Solanum lycopersicum: one gene and its partner. The protein of the gene in region 1 interacts with the protein of each later gene in a biochemical or structural test. Links are inferred from orthologs where the notes say so. Each region holds a gene or a part of one and is shown in the gene's direction. Other genes may lie near its edges. The genes, in order: flowering time control protein FCA and flowering time control protein FY.

Region 1 (3,828 bases):
CCCGTGACCTCCACCACCTCTATACACCTACATTACCCAAAATCGCGACTCCTCTTGGAGTGATCCAGATCCCCCAGCACAATTGTCTTTGCCACCCCCCTAATTCAAGAGTTTATGGGAGTATGACTGTCATCTTTGTCTAATGAGTGTTTCGTCCTCTAGTACTTTGATGTCCATCATCTCTGTCTAATGAGTGTTTCTTCCAGTACTTTGATGTCCTCATCCTTCATGCACTTAACTTGGTCCAGGTCACGTGTCATCTTCTCCCTTGCCTTGGCTAACATGTACAACTTTTTTATCCCCGCCTTTGTCCTATAGTTATATGTGCACATCGAGCCTGAAGAGTATTCTAAGTTGTATTATTCTGTTTGGATGTCTCTTATGTACTTCCTAGATCAAAATGTCTAGCATCATGGTTCTTTTGACTGGAAATCCTGTGTATATAATGTAGCAATTACTTGTAAACATACTTTTGAAAGATACTTTTGGTCCAATGTTTTTCTTTCAATGTATATGTATGAAATTTGTTGACTACAAGGCAGTTGCATATTGCTTGGTCAATGTAATGCAGATCTTTTGTTCAGTTAGGGGAGTTTTGTGACATTCGTCTTAGTATATAATTAACACGCGATAGGTCCTTAATTTTTCTCTGCTTGTTTTTCTGTTTTTAAATATTATTTTTAGTGTATTCATTGTTATCCATATTCATTCAGAACAAGTTGACGAGGCTGGTTTTGCCAAACTTTTTGTTGGATCTGTCCCAAGAACGGCAACTGAAGAAGATGTAAGTCCTTGTTATTCTTTAAACTTGTCATTTGTCTTTTTTTTCCTCCTTGTTATTTGTACTCATAATAGGTGACACTAGTATTTTGTGTTCTGGTTCCTACTATATTTGCTTCCTAGATTTCCTGATCATGCCCTCTCTTCTTTGCCGTATTTTATATCCTTATTGGCATGTACTTAGTTCTCTGTGTCACTATTGATCTTGATATCATGCCAAAGAGGGAAGAATAAACTATATTGCGAACGGACATGTAATATGTTGGTATTCGGATTGATTGATAACTTGCATTTGATGTTGATTTCTCTTAACAGAAAGTAGTTGAGATGAACATTTTCTGAGCGATGGTATGCCACTATGATTTTGCTTGCCTTGACCTGTATGCTCTAGGAAGTTCATTTTCACTGGATATGCTTCCTATTAACTTCTACACTTCAATGCATATTGTTTGCCAAGAATGCTGCCATCCGATCTTCTCTTTTTATTCAAACTGTATCATTTCAAAATGTGTTTGGTATTCTTCCTTATCTCTTAGTCCAATTAGCTGATCGTTCTTGTTTGATGTCAGATCCGACCTTTGTTTGAGGAACAAGGACGAGTACTCGAGGTTGCTTTCATTAAAGATAAGAGAACTGGGCAACAACAAGGTATGTATTGCTAGATTTTTTTTTTAGATTTGCGTTGGATCTACATGTCTCTTTTCAGGACCTTTGAGGGCTGAAGGAGCAGTATAAGATCATGTTTGATGTCAGTTAGTTTTCCACAATTGTCTGGATGCCTGGTATTGATTGCAACTGTCTTTTGGGTTCATCCAGTCAACCAAAGAGAAGACGAGAATAAAACTTGTGAATCAACCTTCCTGTGGAAGTAGACAATATTGAAGAAAAGTCTTGTTTTGTAGAATAAGCGTCAGTTGGAGAAATTAGAGTATGATTATTGTATTAGGTTATGTGAGCGCAACTGTTTTCTGTGTTTACTTTGTGGAATCTCTGGATGTACATCACTTGAAATGATTGACATTTGGATTATTACCTTGTGATGTGCCCAACTTCTATTCCATTGGAGTAGTGATATGATTTACTCAGTTGTTGTAGATGTGGAAATTCATCATGTTGATGCGGGCTTGACTCTATAGTAATCCAATTGTGGATTTCTTTTGTGGATGTAAAGTTGGATCATCAAATAGAAATGGTGTGTCCAGCTGGATGTTTAGCATATCTCTTTAGAAGCGAGGGATGAATTGCAAACTATTTCCTTGGTAAATTGTCGTATTAATTAACAGTCTAATATCATCTACTTTTCATTTTCGGAGAATGATTAACTTATTGAGGCTTTCCTAGATCTCATCTGAAGCTTATCTTATCACAGTGGTTGGTGTATGACAACAAACAACTGAACAAATAAATAGAGTATCTTTTTAATCAGAGTGCTGAGACTGACATGGCTGCTAGATGCTGATTTGAGTTGTTAGTGAAATCATTCTGAAGTGCTATGTGTATTTAGACATTTATTCTTCTCCATTCATCTCCTGTTCAGTTGAATGCGTATGTATGGTCGATTTTGAAGCCACACCCTCCTTTAGTTAATAGTTCCTCGATACGTCCGTATGCTTATCATTTGCAACATACGGTGCATGATGAATGAGTGTGTCTGGTTGGTATTTGGTAGATGCCTGGATGACATGACATTGCCATTTTCTCTTTTTTTTTTTGGTGCAATATCGTGTATTTGAATGTATCCCCAGGATTTTTCAAACATATACCACGATGAATGTGATGTTTAGGATATTAATATTCCATCTTCAATTTATTGCTTGTGCTGATAGGGGCCTTGTGAATTATCTTGCATTATTTACCCCAATACGAGTGAGCTCTTCATTGAATGCTTCTTAATGTTTGTTCGATGATGTTCATGGGTGGATGAGGTTCTTATGATAATGCACTGGAAGGTGTTTTAATTTAATTATTAATTTATGTGATCCTCTTGGCTCTTGGTGTGGTTGATTTTGAGTTTTGGCTTCTGATCAATAACAATTGTCAGAAGTAATGGTAGTTGTTCATTAACAAAGGCATGTGCATCTTATGCCACATTATGTAAATTCTAGATTTTGTTCCATTACAGGATGTGACACTCTTATAGAACAAACAGGGTTGTGACACCCTTGTAGAACAAACAGGGTTGTGCGCACTGCTTTTGCTGTGTAGTGGCATGGTCAATATAATATTTGTGTACATTAATGGATATGGATGTGTAATTTTCTTGATGAAGTTCATCATCAATGCAGGCTGCTTTAACAATTTCCCTCATAAGATATATTAGATTATATATGGTTGGCTTCATTCTTCTGCGGTGGTTGATTGTGTATATTAATTGCGCGTCCCTGTGATGCTTTTCCATTACCAAAACCCATGGGGTGCATAGCAGGTGTGTTTATTGAGCTTCATATGCATCCCATAAAACAACAAATTATTTTGCTCATGACTTTATTGAGCTCTATCAAACAACATATTATTTTGTCTGCAGGGGACCATCATAATAAGTATCTGCTTTATACACATGGTAGGTAGTGAGTGTATGATTTGGACCTTGAGAATTTCTATATTTTAATTTAGCCATATGTCACCATTATGCCACAAAAGGTGGCTAGAGTTAAAAATTTGACTGAGCAGTTGCATGAATGACATGGTTGGTCAACACTGCATGGAATGAAAACAGTTTCACCACTTAAGTTTCTAGGATCTGTAGAAACTGTGTCAGAAAAAGAGTAATAGTGATATGAAAGATGTTTGATGCCTGTCACTGGGCTAAAATCAGGGAAGTACAAGTTTTTTATTCTAAAGGTATTACAGTTAATGTTGTGCTGCTGAGTTAATTCGCTAGTGAGTCAGGTTACTGATTTTCAGTGACGGGGTTCTCACTTTGGTTTCTGTTTTGTGCTTTGCATCTTTAAGTTATTTTGATTGTCTGCTTCTTGGGCTTGATGCATTTCCCCATTTCTGGCCTTCATTCACTTCTTTGTAGGTGTTTGTTAATCTATCTTCGTCAGG
Region 2 (4,425 bases), on another chromosome or scaffold:
TTGAATTGTATGACCATTTGCTAGTTTACTTATGTTTAATATATTCACAATTTTACATCTTATTTTGTTTAATTATTCACAAATTTCATTTAATTCTTCATATGTAGCCATAATTTGATACTCTTTCAGCATTATATTGGAGTAAAACGTATTTTACAGTATTTACATAAAATTTCAATCCCATATATATATATATACCCGGTGGTTCACTTGATCATTTGACATGTTATAGTGATTTTGATTGGGCTGATTGCCCTACAACATTAGGACCATCATTTTCATTCAATGCATCGCCTTCTTTACTGGTATCCGCCGACCTTCTTTGATATACACAAGTGTTATGCAATGTCAATTTGGACAAGGTCCTGCTCAATTGGTGATCTGTCCTTCATGTTAGACGATCAACAATATTTACTTTATACTTCTTTTTGTATTTTTGGTCATTCTTCAAACATCAGTCTTTGTCTTTATAGTTGCAAATCATCGAAAATATTATTAGAATAGGACAAAATTAGACATTGAAAACACTAATTATTGCGCTAAATGGAACTTAAATGAGTGCAAATCTACCATACATCAGTTTATAAAAATATAATAGCATTTTCAGGGTTGGGTTTGATTTCCTTCTTGCTTATCGATGATTTTAGGTTGTAAACTATAATTCCTACACATTTATGAGAGGACAATACCCTCACCTGACTGGAAAAAAAAACTAAGAGAAGTTAATACATACCCATTGATGGATAACTTTTGTTGTTTGAAAAACAAGCTCGTTGGTGGAGTGTGAGCGACTAAGTGCTACTAGGAGATTATTAAAAAAAAGTGTGCAGTAGTTAAAACACTGATATAATGTCCTCTGAAGTGAGAAATTTGCTCATCTAGTTATTTTCCAGCAACGTCTTAAGATTTTAGGAGTTGAGACTATTGTCTTTGTTCGTACAGGTTGTAAAATGCTGGTGGGTCACAATGGTAGAAAAAACATGGTGATTTGGGATAAAAGAGGAAGAGCTTTTGATTGTTTAAATGAGATTTAAAGTTAATTGAAATTTAATAGTGAGTGCATACTTTTCGTATAGTTAGTGTACGATTTATATAAAGTTAAACAATATTCAACTTTTTGAATTTATCATAATATATAGTAAGTGTATAACTCATATATAAATAAATTATATGTATATTACGTGTATACTTATATTGTACAGTCAATAAATACTTTCTATGATTTTTGGCTATTTATTTTATATTAATAAAACATGACTATATTCATTGTCAACTAAGAGGGTGTTTGGATTGAATTAAAAGATGGTCAAACCTACTTTTAAATCAATTTTGATTTCTAAAAGTATTTGATAAATTTTAAAATAAGTTTAAAATGACCTAAAATACTTAGGAAGCGTTTGACAAAATTAAAAATAATTTAAAATTAATTTAAAATAATTTAAACTAAGTTAAAACAAAGTAGATCTCCTTATACTTTTTACTTTTTGATCCAAAAGTCATCTAAGTTTGACTTTAAAGTTACTTTCTTTTTAAATTAATCCAAATGGGTTCTAAGTACTTTGCCATATATATTTGAAACTAAGCCATCAGTAATTATTCCCCAAAATCATATTTTCTTTTCATAAAATTAACCTAAAGATCACAAGTATGTTATTAATTCAAGTCTATTATAATAATAATTATTATATTTGATAAATAAAAATTTATTTTTATATTTAATAGTAATATAAAGTCTTAATTATTTATGTGATAGATGTGATTTTTCCATTTTTTACGCAAATAACTTTTAGATTTTCCTCTGTAATTTTTGGTGTTGGGCCTTGAGGATTTCACTTCATTTTCCATTGTCCAAATCTCCATTTACACAAAACATGGACTCCAAATTAAGCCCACACTAAATTACCACCAAACCTGTCCACTGCTACTACACCCTCGCCGTTGCTCTCTCCGGCGAATACATCGCGCTTCCCTCGCCGTTGATATCTCCGGCGAAGATTTTGCCTAGTAAGTTGCTCCGTTTCTTCCCTCTTTCACTAGATACCTCTCTGCATTTCCTTCTTTCTCTAACTCCTGGTTTAAAAACCCTAAACCCTTTTTACTTCTTGCAGCCATCCATTGTAGCACTAGCTAAAGGTCCTTTTTACTGGAGTTCCGAATCTGTGTTGCTGGTTCCTTCACGTTTCTGTAACTGGTACACCAGCTACTTTTTTTTTCCTGTTCATCTCTTATATTTGTGTAGCACTATATTCTAAGAATTTAGGTTGGCATAGTTTTTTAATTCAAATTTCAGTTTGTCATTTTTATGCGATGTGATTGATTCCGGGGTTTCTTTCACGATGTTCTTTTAGTGGGTGGTTCTCAGTCTCTTTATGTGAAGTTCATATTAAAAATTAGAAATTTAGAATGAAAATCCGTGTCTTCTCATTAATATTATCCAGAGTTATATTTTAGATTGCATTACAGTACAGTATGTGTGTTGTTGAAACGATTTTTTTGGGTGCTTTCTTAATTCTTAGCTTCCTCAATTAGATATGGAATGCAATCTCTCTTGTTAGGTATTTTGCATATTGTGATTTGAGCCAATTGGTGTTTGAAGAAAATCAAAGGTTATTGTGTTTGCACTTGTGCCCAATGAATGTAATTATTGATTATTTTTGAAAGATTTACATGTTTGTGTTTAGGTGGTTGTTAACTTCTTCAAATATGTATTGAATATCTATATCAGATACTTGGTCCAATTATTATTGTATATTAACTCAAGGCCATTGTCCTAGAACTCTGAATTTTGGATCCATAAATTTGAATCTTGGATCCGCAACTATGATGGCGAGTGGTGATCCTCATCAGCATCAGCAGCACCAGCACCCACCGCTGCCACAGCAACAATTCCAGCAACAACACCAGCAACAACCCCAGCAACAGCCGCAGCAACAACATCAGCAACAGCCCCAGCAACAACACCAGCAACAGCACCAGCAACTGCACCAGCAACAACACCCTCCACATTTTGGAGAGTTTCCAAGGGGTCCACAACCTCTGCCAGGTCCACCACCCATGATGCGGCAGCCATCTGCATCCTCCACTACTCTTAACTCTCAGCTACCTGGACCTCCTCCTCATCCTTCTTATGACGGTGTGTTACTAATGTTTCATTTACTCTTTTACTTTTATCATTGATTGATATGCTTTTCAGCCGAGCGGGCAGCTGGTTTTCGAATCAAGAATCTAGTTGTTATCAAATTGATTTATTGTAGGAAAAAATACCTAGCTACAACTTTTCGGCTTCTACTTCTTCTCTTTTATTTCTTTGATTTTAGTTATCAAACTGCTGCTGTGTAATTCATTAATCTGAAAAAATATATGGCTAGATACTGAAAATTGGAAATTGACTGTAATTTTAATGGGAAAAAGGGAGAGAGAATTTTAGTAGAAACTAGGTGTCATTTGAACATGCTATTTTGTTTTCTCTGGGAAGGACCTCTTTAGTCGTTATTTCATGGCTCATGTAGTTTCTATTTTGTTGGAGAAGAAAGAAGAGTTTCAACTCACAGATATTCATCTTGAACTCTTATTGCCATTTATCATTTTCATTCATTTTATAAGAGGAAGCATGATGAAAGACGGAATGTTTGAAGCAAAAAGAAGGTTGATTCTCATGACTTCTCTATTTCTTGTCATGAGATACGGCGGCTAGAATAGATCGCCTCTTTCCCGCAAGTTGACTGATAATGAGACTATGAGTGTCTCAGATTGTCAAATTCTCATAGAACCTACCAATTCTTATTGCTTGGGTAGGTTTAGGTCCATAAAGTTAAAGAGAGGATGAAAGTTACCTTGTTCTTAGAGACTTCCATTTGCTTTGATGACACATAATTCACTTCACCTAATTTTTATTTTGTTAAGTATTTACAGGACCTGATTACGATGTCTGCCAAAATCTTATTCTTTTCCTTATATTTGCAGCTCATGCTGACAGTTTTGCTGCAAAGAGAATGAGAAAAATTGGCCAGAGAAGAGCAGTTGACTACACCAGTACAGTTGTAAGATATATGCAGGTAATAACTGTTGAATGTTGGCATTTACCCAGAGAACTAGTTATGCAATGTGTTGCGTAAATGTTCTTCTATATGTTACTTCTATATAGATCAGCAAGGGGCTAGAATCAGTAGCTGTTATCCTGCATCACTAAGAAAATTTACGTCAAGTGTGGGTTCATTTTCCTCTTTTCTTTCTTTCAAAGGGGTTACAACCACAAGCTGTTTTCCCGTTACCATTAGGAAAAACTAGCAAGATTGCTTTCATTCAATATCAACCTATCCCTGCCTAGAAAATGTGTGTACAGTTGGGAATCAATGTGGGAAATAAACAGTAAGGAATAGTTGGTACGTGTTTATTCATCTGCCCCAACATTTTCACCAACATTAT

The links.
Region 2: the proteins of flowering time control protein FCA (region 1) and flowering time control protein FY form a complex in vitro, tested with the Arabidopsis thaliana proteins (3 studies listed by BioGRID). The link is inferred for Solanum lycopersicum from reciprocal best matches to the Arabidopsis thaliana genes FCA and FY.

Annotation. Positions count from the first base shown.
Region 1 is NC_090800.1:63,230,505-63,234,332, forward strand, and holds part of flowering time control protein FCA, read left to right. Parts: intron 1-713; coding exon 714-784; intron 785-1,349; coding exon 1,350-1,428; intron 1,429-3,828. UniProt on the Arabidopsis thaliana protein: Plays a major role in the promotion of the transition of the vegetative meristem to reproductive development. Plays a role in the regulation of flowering time in the autonomous flowering pathway by decreasing FLOWERING LOCUS C mRNA levels.
Region 2 is NC_090807.1:57,353,850-57,358,274, forward strand, and holds the start of flowering time control protein FY, read left to right. Parts: upstream 1-1,598; 5' UTR 1,599-2,004; intron 2,005-2,108; 5' UTR 2,109-2,191; intron 2,192-2,774; 5' UTR 2,775-2,820; coding exon 2,821-3,133; intron 3,134-3,963; coding exon 3,964-4,055; intron 4,056-4,425.